Caenorhabditis elegans: one gene and its partners. The protein of the gene in region 1 interacts with the protein of each later gene in a pairwise test. Each region holds a gene or a part of one and is shown in the gene's direction. Other genes may lie near its edges. The genes, in order: brp-1, W03D8.8 and snrp-40.1.

The links.
Region 2: the proteins of brp-1 (region 1) and W03D8.8 interact in a two-hybrid assay, tested with the Caenorhabditis elegans proteins (one large-scale study listed by BioGRID).
Region 3: the proteins of brp-1 (region 1) and snrp-40.1 interact in a two-hybrid assay, tested with the Caenorhabditis elegans proteins (one large-scale study listed by BioGRID).

The regions. Positions count from the first base shown.
Region 1 is NC_003281.10:12,018,456-12,022,211, forward strand, and holds the start of brp-1 (uncharacterized protein), read left to right. Parts: upstream 1-2,096; coding exon 2,097-2,174; intron 2,175-2,861; coding exon 2,862-3,041; intron 3,042-3,098; coding exon 3,099-3,344; intron 3,345-3,688; coding exon 3,689-3,756.
Region 2 is NC_003279.8:2,789,672-2,793,427, forward strand, and holds the start of W03D8.8 (BAAT/acyl-CoA thioester hydrolase protein), read left to right. Parts: upstream 1-2,015; 5' UTR 2,016-2,017; coding exon 2,018-2,118; intron 2,119-2,310; coding exon 2,311-2,417; intron 2,418-2,460; coding exon 2,461-2,566; intron 2,567-2,669; coding exon 2,670-2,961; intron 2,962-3,006; coding exon 3,007-3,120; intron 3,121-3,756. Other genes in the region: W03D8.1 (uncharacterized protein), read right to left, coding at 14-78, 125-279, 327-458, 505-638.
Region 3 is NC_003284.9:11,298,086-11,301,841, reverse strand, and holds the start of snrp-40.1 (U5 small nuclear ribonucleoprotein 40 kDa protein), read left to right. Parts: upstream 1-2,057; 5' UTR 2,058-2,241; coding exon 2,242-2,257; intron 2,258-2,307; coding exon 2,308-2,375; intron 2,376-2,424; coding exon 2,425-2,523; intron 2,524-2,706; coding exon 2,707-3,463; intron 3,464-3,534; coding exon 3,535-3,590; 3' UTR 3,591-3,756. Other genes in the region: F08G12.3 (RasGEF domain protein), read right to left, coding at 1-9, 55-281, 329-679, 933-1,118, 1,166-1,538.

The DNA.
Region 1 (3,756 bases):
AACAAATATTTTGTTAGTTGACAATTTTTAAATAGAACTAACTATAACTGAGATATAAGCTGTCAAAGTTGAACAATTGGGGGGGGGGGGGGAATACTAATACGGTAAACTAAATATTATGCTCCTCAAATAGTAACATCCCTTATAGTAATAGGATTTGATAAGTAAGTAAATACCGTATTAACTCTTTTGTTGGTCTATTGAAAATTGCAAAATTTCATAAAAAACCTAAACATTTTCAAATTCCATCTAAATATTTTTTTTTGTTCTGTTATTTTCCTCCAATACGAGACAAAACCTAACCTTGAACCCCCAAAGTGGAACCGTTTCTACTCTGTTCTTTTGCCAGTTGAAGGTGATGTTTTTGTCAAAATATAAGGGTAACCTTCAACAATTTTCTTTCATGTGAAAAATGAAAGACATTTGAAACGGTCAATTGAGTAAGGTGGAGGAGACTCTGCCCCCACAAGAGTGCCCCCACAAGAGTGGGGGAGAAATAAGAAATAATAAAATAAGTAGGCAAGCGTAGGTGGGGGGGGGGGGAGGGGAATACTGTAATTCTGATCGGAGAATATTTAAAATTGTGGCAACCACATTAAAAACCGATAATAACTTATAATAGGACAAAAATAATTTGGAATATACCGTATTTCCTCTTTTAGTTTTGCACCCCTTTGCTCAACTTTGACAGCTCATATCTCATTTTGTTTTGAACATATAAATAATTAACAAACTACAAACTATAGAAAAACATCTCACAAAAATTTTATCAGTTGACAACTTTTCTATGGAACAAAGAACTACTGAGATATGAGCTGTCAAAGTTGAGCAAGCGGGTGCAAAACTAATAGAGGAAATACGGTATGTATCGTAAACTTCTGTATATACATACTTCCCTGTTAGTGTTGCATGTATCAGGGTTGGGCGGTAAATAATTTTTCCGCCAAATTGGCGAATTGCCGGAATTGAAATTTTCAGCAAGTCGGTAAACCGGCAAATTGCCGATTTGCCGCATTTTCCAGAAAAACGGCAATTGTCGGACAGATTGTGGTTTTGCATTTTTTTTTTGTTCGAAATTTCGTGTTTCACTATCAGTCTCATAAAAAAGCCCTCTAAAAACTTCCGGCAAATCGGAAATTTGCCGAAAATCGAAAATTCCGGAATATCAGCAAACCGGCAGTTTGCCGCCCACCAATACTAGTTCTAAATGAATATTTTTTAGAGCAAACGGGCTTTTTCTCACCAATTTTTTCGTTTTAAGACAGTTCTCGATATGAGTTTAACTAACTAAAAATCACAAAATTTACAAAAAAAATTATTATAACTCACATTTTTTAAAAATCATGCAGAGCGCTAAAAATACCAAAAATCATACTAAAACATTTCAAAAAAATGTAGACATTTTTTCGAAGAATCTGCAGCATGTATGAATATTTCAAAAATAATTAAAGCATAAAACTGGAATCAGAACTTTTTTTTTAACTCAAAATGAAAAATGTTCCGAAATTATATTAATAGCTTTACTATGATATTTGTTCATTTTAGGCCGTACTCCACCTTGTATGCAGGCACATTAATATTTATAATAAGAGAAAAATAAACCCTCCGCATTTGAATTAACACATCCTACCTATTTTTACCTGAACCATCAAACTTTGTATATTATACTCTGCCCTTAAACCCTTGCTGCAAAAAATGGAAAAGAAATCAAAAATCAAAGTATCCTTTATCATTTTAAAATTTTTCACAGAAATCTTTATCATCATCTGATCGAGATTTTCTGGTCAAAAACAAAAACGAATGACGTCATTCCTCTCTCAAGTGTACAGTAACCAAGTGGCCGGCTATTTTAAAAACTCGTTTTGTGTGTTTCTTCAAAACTTGGTGTCACTTCCTATCAAAACATCGGGAGATCATTTTTTGTTCATTTTCCTACACCGCGCGGAAGAGTCGTGAATGCCAACCTGTCAAAAATGTTTAATGCTCCGCGAGAGAAAGTGAGCCGCTTCTCTAATTCTCCTATTGTGCGCATTGATCTCTTCTCTTTTTTTTGTTTTTGTCTTTTACTCGAATATCTAATCAAGAATCATTTACAGATGACCAAACTAGGCGCACAGCCCGGCGTTCACGGGAGTGAGGACGTTGAGAAGGAGTCTATCAAGATCGATCCAAAAGTGAGTTTCTATTAAAAATATTCAAATTTTCTGAGAACTGTTTTTAGTGCGAAGTTCAAATTTTCTCATAAAAAAATTTCAGCTGGAAATTCGAATTTTTTTTAAGAGATCACGTTTTGGCGCGAATTACAAATTTTATGAGTAACAAGTCGTAGTGTCAGAGTGTCCCATTTCGGCTTGATCTACATAGATCTACAAAAAATGCGGGATTTCAGACGCAGGCTTCTCAGCTGATTTCGCATGGTTAAGAACATGGCTGACGTCATGTTTTTTGGGCAAAAAAGTTCCTGCATTTTTTGTAGATCAAACCGTGATGGGGCAGCCCGGCACCACGTGTAAAAACAGTTTGCCTCGAAATTCAAAATTTTTCACAAAAAAATTTTAGCTGGAAAATCAAATTTTCTGAGAAAACGTATATTGGCGCGAAGTTCAAATTTTATTAGAAATTTTTTTGGCGCTAATTTAAAGTTTTATGAGAAAATACATTTGACTCGAAATTCAAACTTTATGAGAAAACGTATTTTGCCGCGAAATTTAAATTATCCGAGAATAATTTTTGGCGCGAAATTCAAATTTTCTGAGAACATTTTTTGGCGCGAAATTCAAATTTTCTCACAAAGAATATATTCGGTAACAATAATAATAATAACGTTAGTAGAAATATCAACAAAATCTGAATTATTCCAGGTGTTCACAGTCCTCCAGCCCACAGTGATCCCAATGCCGGCTCCACCAATGAAGCCTGCTCCATCGCCAGCTTTCCAGGCGATGAGAGCATGCTTCCATTGCATGTTCTTTGCCACGTGTCTTTTGCTGGTGACACTCATCGGTTTCTACTTCCTCGCCGCTACTCCTGATCTCTTCAAGGTACAGGGTTTTTTTTTAATTTTAAGCTTTTTTAAACTTAATTAATTGATATTCCAGAAAACCGAAACATCCGTGAACAAGCCACAAATGGAGGCACTTCTAGCTCAACCAATTGATGGATCATCTGAAAAGACTATAAACTCTGCGGAAAATCCAGGAATGATGGCAATTCCCTTGGCTCGGGTAGTTGTAGTGGAGGATATTTCGAATAATGAAGGTCAAAAGAAGACAACTGTTGATGGATCAGTTGAGGAGAAGTCCTCTACCAATTTGGATCGCCCACTTCATCCAGATGAGATTGAGGTTAGTTACCAAATTATACCATATATATACATAAATATGGATTTGTATATATATATATATATAAATATATATATATATATATATATATATATATATATATATATATATATATATATATATATATATATGCATATGTAGGGCTTCCATAGACAGGCGCGGTTCCAGGGCCTGCCTGAAGGGAATGCCTACCCGCCTCAAGCCAGCTAAACTGCTTTAAAAATTTTAGGCCATTTTTTGAGCTGCCATAACTTTTTTTTCAAGAGGTTTTTAAGAAGTTTCATTAAGAAATTCGATATTTTCAGACAATTTTGAGTCTAATAAATCAATAAAAGCAATTTTTTCAGCAATACCGAATGATGGAGGCCCGCCAACAATTCCAACAAATAATGGAGGAACGTATGTACATGCAACA
Region 2 (3,756 bases), on another chromosome or scaffold:
GAAGAAAACCTACATTTCCGGGGTACAACGTCTTATTGTAAATAGTATTAACCAAGGCACCGTCATCTAATCGATCATCTGAAAGAGTAAGACCTTATAGGCACGTAGGTAGGCACATGCTTACATTTGAGGCACATATAGAAGTTATTCTTCGACTTTGTTGCCTTGAACATTTCCCCTAGAACCATTCCATTCGAATGCGATTCGCATTCACCGAGAAGTTCTGCAGGATAATCGGCCATTTTCTCCATTTCGAGCACGTTATTTATACTCTTCATACTGGAAAAATTACTTGCCTACATGCCTGCCTACAGGCTTCCACTTACTCCGACGTGCAATTCATTCTCTTGAACAAAGTTTCATTAATAAGATCAGCTTCGGCGATAAAATTATTTTGAGATACAAAAACAACAACGTGTTTCTCTCTTCCGGTGGTGTATGAATAATAATAACTCGATCTGGAAACGAAGAAGGTAGGTAGGCAGGCAGGCAGGCCGAACTCACAATTCTACACTTCCACACTTTTCTAGTCGTTCGGCATTTTCAGCGTCCGTCAGCTTCAAGAAGTCCACAGTAGCTGCTCCACGAGCCAACAGAAGCAAGAGTAGAAAATTGATTAATTTTCCCATCAAAACCATTTGAGAGGAGAAATTGTAGAAATGATTGAAATTGTTAGGGATTCTTGGAATATAAATAGCTAGCGGGAAAGAATAAACGGGGATTTTTGAGACGTGTAAGGTTTACGCGAATATTTCAGGTTCTACATGCCAACCAGGGCTGGGACTTTTTTGGGGCCACAATCGGAAATGTCCGGCAATTGGCAATTTTGACAATTGCCGGTTTTGGAAGTTTCCGGCAATAGGCGATTTCGGCAATTGCCGAAATTGATTGCTGGACATTTCCCGCAATTTTCAAACCTTATTATATTTTGGAAATTGAACAAAGTTAACCTTATTTTTTAGTATTCGGTTAGCCATTATTCAAAAAAAAACGGTCAAAAGGATTAAATAATTTGGAGCTTGAAAATAGATAATTATTCATTAAAATGCATGTTTAGCCTCCTAAATCTATAAAAAGCTTCAAATTTATATTTCCGGCATATTAATCGGCAATTCCGGCGATTGCCGGTTTTCAAAATTTTCGGCAATGCCGAAAATTTGCTTGCCGAACGGCAATTGCGGCGCACCCCTGTTGCATATATTCCTGAGTGCCTATGGACCTACCTACATGCCTACCTTTTATTGTCGCCCCTAAATTACACCCCGACCCTCATAACAAACCTAAATGGCGTCATTAATAAAACTTAGCAGCCGACAAAATGTAGGCCAAAAAACATTTTTTTTCTGTTCTTTTCTCTGCGTTTTTTCAACGTGACCTCGAAGAGATAATACTCGGCCACCAATTTTTAAAGGATCTTTTTTGTGATCCTCAACTTGAAGCAACAGTGAGAGTGCACAAACCTCGGCCATGTCACTGGTTTTTATAGGTACCCACAATTCTACAGAATCATGGCCATAGCCGCGGATAGGGAAAACTAGGCTTACAGAACCAAAGTCATCAGCAATAACGTGGCCTAGAATGGAAGAAAACTCGGCCACCAACTTTTTTCCCTTCTAAACGAAAATTAGTTAATGACGGACAAACTGCATGAACCTCAACCAAGGTCACCCACAGATCCATGACCATGGCCGTGGATAGGAAAAATTTGTCCACTCTTACAAAACTGAAGTGGGGCGGTGGCCGAGGATTGAAAAAAAAACTCGGCCACCAACTTTTTCCCTTCATCGCCGCAAAAAAAGCAGTACCGTTCTTTTCTACCTCCCCAGAGTGCTCATTTTTCTCTGACCAAAGTCAAAATTAAAACTCTCACGAATTGATAAGAAGCTTTTCAACCACCCGCCTCCCTCCAGTCGTGTGATTGATAACTGTGTTTGATAACTATAACAGTGATTTGTACTCTCCTCACCCATTTGTACTCACTATGTTTCGTTCCTTCTAAAACCAAAAACTTTCAGCAATGCCGATTCATGTGGACAAACCGGACACAATGCAAAATGAGCTCATCGATATCGTGGCAGATGGGCTCCGATCGAATCAGATTTACACGTTTCGAATGATGTAAGACTTCAGTACATTATTTAAGTTCAAAAATTTTTGATACTGATGATTGATGTGTTGTGTAGTTTAGTAATTGCTATTTAGGCACAAGGCCAAAAAATGACCGAGGTGGCCGAGTTTTTCTTTTTTCAGCCACCTAGAAAATGCTGGGCGGTATCGAGGCTTAAAAATTTTAAACCTAGACTTTTCCAGCTTGAAACATGACTATGGAACTCACAAATCGGAAGCAACATTTCAAGCGGACCCCGCTGGAAGAATCGACTTGAAGTATGCGAAGCCCCTTAGAGGATCTTATTACGGTAGGTACACAATACCTAGAGTCACTCTAAATCAGATATTTAGATGCTGATCCGATGGGGTTGTTCCTTGGAATGAAGCCATGTGAGGATTTTGCATATGGTGGATATCTTCGGTGTACTCCGCCAGTTCCGTTTTATTATCTGTTGGAGTAAGTTTTATACTTTTTCTAAACTTTTGCTAGTTGCACTTCCTTTAAAAATTTCCGCCACAAGACTATGTACACAAACCCCTGCAAACATACAAAATTTCAGACTCTTTGATTCATCCGGAACCCTTATCGACTCTACCTACATCAAAAAGCACTGGATGCACCCAAAATTGATACGAACCGAGTTAGAGGAAGATTTCTGTGCGACACTCTTCAAACCTCCCGGTGATGGTCCCTTCCCAGTGGTCCTTGATATTTCAGGAACTGGTGGAGGAATCCATGAGCATAAGGGTGCTATGTTAGCTTCAGAGGGATTCGTTGTATTATGTCTTGCCTTTTTCCAGTTCAAGTATTTACCGCAAAAAATGGAAGATGTAGATATGGAGTATTTTGCAGTGAGTTGTAAAATTTGAGCACTAAAATTAGAAAGCTAATTCCAGAAAGCAATCAACTACTTAATTGATCTACCATTCACAAAAAATGTGATAGGTATACAGGGAGTCTCGTTTGGCGCAACTATTGTGGACTTGCTCACCACAAGACATGGCGATAAGGTAGGCAGAATTTATTGTTCTAGGTGAATGGCGCTAAATGATAGTTGACGAACTTCAGCTCAAATTAGTGGTGGACGGCAATTGCTGTTCGGCAAATTGGCAATTTTCCGGTTTGCCGATTTGCCGGAAATTTTCAATTCCGGCAATTTACCGGTTTGCCGATTTGCCGTTTGTTGGATATCAATTTGCCGAAAGTTTCGGCAATTGCCGTTTTTCCGGCAAATTTGGCAAATTGGTAATTCGCCGATTTGCCAATTTGCGTAAACTGCTAATTCCGGCAATTTGCTGATTTGCTGGAAATTTTCAAATCCGGCAATTTGCCGACTTTCCGGAAATTTCCAATTCCGGCACTTTGCCGATTTGCCTGAAAATTTCAATTCCATCAAATTGCCAATTTGCTGGAAATTTCAGTTTCGGCAAATTGCCGATTTGCCGGAAAAAAATCGTTTGCCGCCCACCCCTGTCTCAAATTCTGTCTGCCGCACATACTTTCGAAAAAGTGTTTAAAATTTAATAGAAAGCACGTGCAGGGGTAGCGTGTATGTGTAAATAGTCTGCAACTAGACTGCCATAGAAATTTTTGGAGCAAGTGCAATAATTTGTGCTCCAAAACAGTCCTATGAGGAAGTGAAGCGG
Region 3 (3,756 bases), on another chromosome or scaffold:
GAGCCCATTCTGAGAGTAACAATGAGTAACGAACACAATTCATTTGAAACTCACTGGATTGTATTTTTTCTTGTTGGCCGTTTTGAAATGTTTCTTGAAATCGTATTGATGTTCAGAGAGAAGCTCCATTTCTGCGACGACATGTGGGGTTCGATTTGTTGCGTATAAAAAGACAGCTAACTTTGGGAAAACCATCTCAAAGATTTGATTTTCCTTTGCATCCCATGGAAGTGGTTTTCTTGCTGCCCCAAAGAAACCACTGAGCTCTCGAAGTCCAATATCTGCAAAAAAAGTATTGACGCTTTTATAAACTTGAACTCAATCTCACTTGAAATTTTGCGAACGAATTCGTGAAGTAAACTTTTCTTCTCAACATAGGTATGAATATGCTCTGCAACAGCTTTTCTGTCTTCCCAGGATCTGATGGCATTGGCTGCGTTCATAACTGACATCGAAGTTTCGCCGAAGATGTTTGTGTATAAGGTAGGTGATTTTGTTTGAGAGAACCGTTCATTAATCTTCCTATATTGGGTGAAGCTTTTTTTCTCCTTAATCTTTCCTGGTGAGCTGAGTGTTGATGGTCCAAGCCCATTGTGAACATTATAATTGAGGGTTTGCATTGCACCTTCAGGTTTCGGGAAAGTGTACATCAGTTGAGCAAGCTGATTATTTGGAACTGCTGAATTGAAATTCTACGTAAACCTCCATATTTTGTAGTTTTGTTGCTTAATTAGCTGACTTTTACATAAATATAGCTTCAAAGTTTTCATTGTTAACAAAAATAAAAATGGCACTAAACAACCAAATTTCATATTCAGCTAGATACGCTAACGTTGACAATTTGTTTGCTAGAAAATACTTAATTTATATTTTTTGAAAGTTAAAATTTTGATGTACAACTCAGCACGTAAAAATTGTAAACTCAAACCCACCATTGAGTAAAGACGATCCAAAGATTCGTGCAGCCAAAAGCAATATAGTTTTAGTTTGCTGGAACTGTAGATATTCTTGAAGAACAGCATGGATTTTCTGATACTCTTGTTGGATTGACGTTAGACCCACTTGGCGCTCGCCAAAATTCATGAGACCGAACAAGCGTGAAAAGTCATCAACGTTTGCTGAAATTATTGTTACATTATTTTATTGGTGTTAACAATTGACTTACTTAATTCATGCAGAAGAACAGTGGAACGTTGTTGCAAAGTCTCAACGGCTTTTGGTCGGTCGTGTAACCACTCCATTTTTTCCTGCATTGAGAATTGATTAATGTGATTGAGTATACAAGTGGATATGTGCTCCAAAGGTTGGATATTTCTGTGATACTCAATCGCTCCGTCTATTTCCTCATTTCGTGTTCTTATATTTTCGTCATAGTAGGCCGGGCTGCTTGTATGGTTTGGTTGAACTGATTGATCATGTTGTTGGGTAACAAATTGGTTTTGTTGATTCGTAACAATTCGCTGAGTTATTTGATAAAGATTCAGCCTGTTCAACGCTTGCTGCGCCTGGAGCAATTGCTCTTGATCACTTTGCAACATCAGTGCCGCAATGAATTGATTGAGAAATATATTCTGAGTATCTGAAAACATATGAATTTATATGTAAAACAATCAAAACGAAAAAGCAACAATGAGAAACGGAAAAAAACTCTAAACTGATATAATGTACAAAAGATTCAGCATGGGAGGAAAGAAAAGTGGAGATGGCTTGGAGAGTTGGCAGGTTGCCAGGGGAACCTTTTTTGGCAAGCCTGATGCGTACGTAGCCTCAAGCGTTTTTTCGCCTTGATAACGTCTAAAGGTAACTGATAGCGGACAGAATCCAATGTTTATCTCCATGTCGTCTCCACTCTCCGTGTGAACCACGCTCTTCTGCCTAGTTGGCAAAAATTTGTTTTTTTTTCTGTAATGTGCACTCTTTCTCGTGGCCTCCACAAATTTCCATGCGGTCGTTGGTTGCCACACAGCAGCTCTTCTCACTCTTCTTTGTTTCTTTTTACTTTCCTTCTTTCCTATGCTCTCTTCTCAGCGCCGGCAGACATTGAGAGGAGACCCGACCTGCTGCCAGGGAGGGAGGACGAACGGCAAGTGTGCGCACTAGAAAATGTAAACGCGCTCCACCGCATTGCATTTACAACTCGTCTCCGCGTTTCTCACACTGCATCGTCATTGTCTATTCGAAAACGTCTTCCAGTGTTCAAATTTGTTTTTCCAGTGGAACCCAACATTTACCAACACAACGATGGCTCTTGTTACTTGTAAGTTTATTTTATAATTTTGTGTAATTTATTTTTATAAAACATTTCAGCTTCGGGACAGCAACTGGTCAGCTCTGGATTTCCACAGCAAACTGCGCAGAGATTCTCCAATTTGATGGTAAATATTAAACATTTATCAAACAACAAACAGAAATCTATATTTTCAGGCACCAACAATGGTTTTGCTAGGTCATGAAGGAGAAATTTACACCGGTGCATTCAGCCCAGATGGAACATGCTTAGCGACTAGTGGATACGACCAGAAAGTGAGTTTTTTTCAAATCCTTGTGGTCTCAAGAATTTATATTCAAATATTAAATTCTATGATTTAATTATTAATTGGTCTTTGCAAATAAGAACAATTGAACGTAGAACTTTGTATAGTCTTGAAAAAACCGAATATAAAACTACCTTCATACTAAACAACCCTTTTAAGCAATGATTTGCAGATCTTCTTCTGGAATGTATACGGCGAATGCGAGAACTTTTCTACAATCAAAGGACACTCAGGAGCAGTTATGGATTTAAAATTCACCACCGACAGCAGCAGTTTGGTCTCTTGTGGAACAGACAAAAGTGTTCGTGTCTGGGATATGGAAACCGGGACTTGCGCTCGTCGCTTCAGAACTCACACAGACTTTGTGAACGCCGTCCATCCGTCTCGTCGTGGTGTAACTCTTGTCGCTTCTGCCAGTGACGATGGAACATGTCGTGTGCATGATATGAGAACCAAGGAACCAGTGAAGACTTACACCAACCGATACCAGCAGACAGCAGTTACATTCAATGATTCTTCGGATCAAGTGATTAGTGGTGGAATTGACAACGTGCTCAAAGTTTGGGACATGCGTCGTGACGAGATTACTTACACTCTGACTGGACATCGTGACACAATTACTGGAATCTCTTTGTCACCAAGTGGGAAATTCATCATTTCCAATTCAATGGATTGCACTGTTCGACAATGGGATATTCGACCATTCGTACCAGGACAACGTTCGGTGGGAGTTTTTGCTGGTCATAATCACAATTTCGAGAAGAACCTTCTCAAATGTTCTTGGTCGCCATGTGAGAGATTCATCACTGCTGGCTCGTCGGATCGTTTTCTCTACGTCTGGGAAACACTGTCGAAAAAAATTGTGTACAAGCTTCCAGGTCACATGGGAAGTGTCAACTGTACCGATTTCCACCCAAAGGAACCTATCAGTGAGTTAAAAATAAATTACAAAAATTTAAAATTTCCATTGTTTGACCATTCAATAATTTCAATTTTTCAGTGCTCTCGTGTGGAAGTGACAAACGTGTTTTCTTGGGAGAAATCGATATGAGCTAGAAATTCAAAACATCCATATTCGCCGGTTAAATTTGTTTTTTGTCATTTTTCTGTTTTGTTTTTTTCACTGGATCTCCTTTTTTGATGTAATTTTTGAACTTACTTTATGTCCGACTCTCTTTATTTATTTTTCAGTGATCATGTTTTATCAAATGAATTCTTGCAA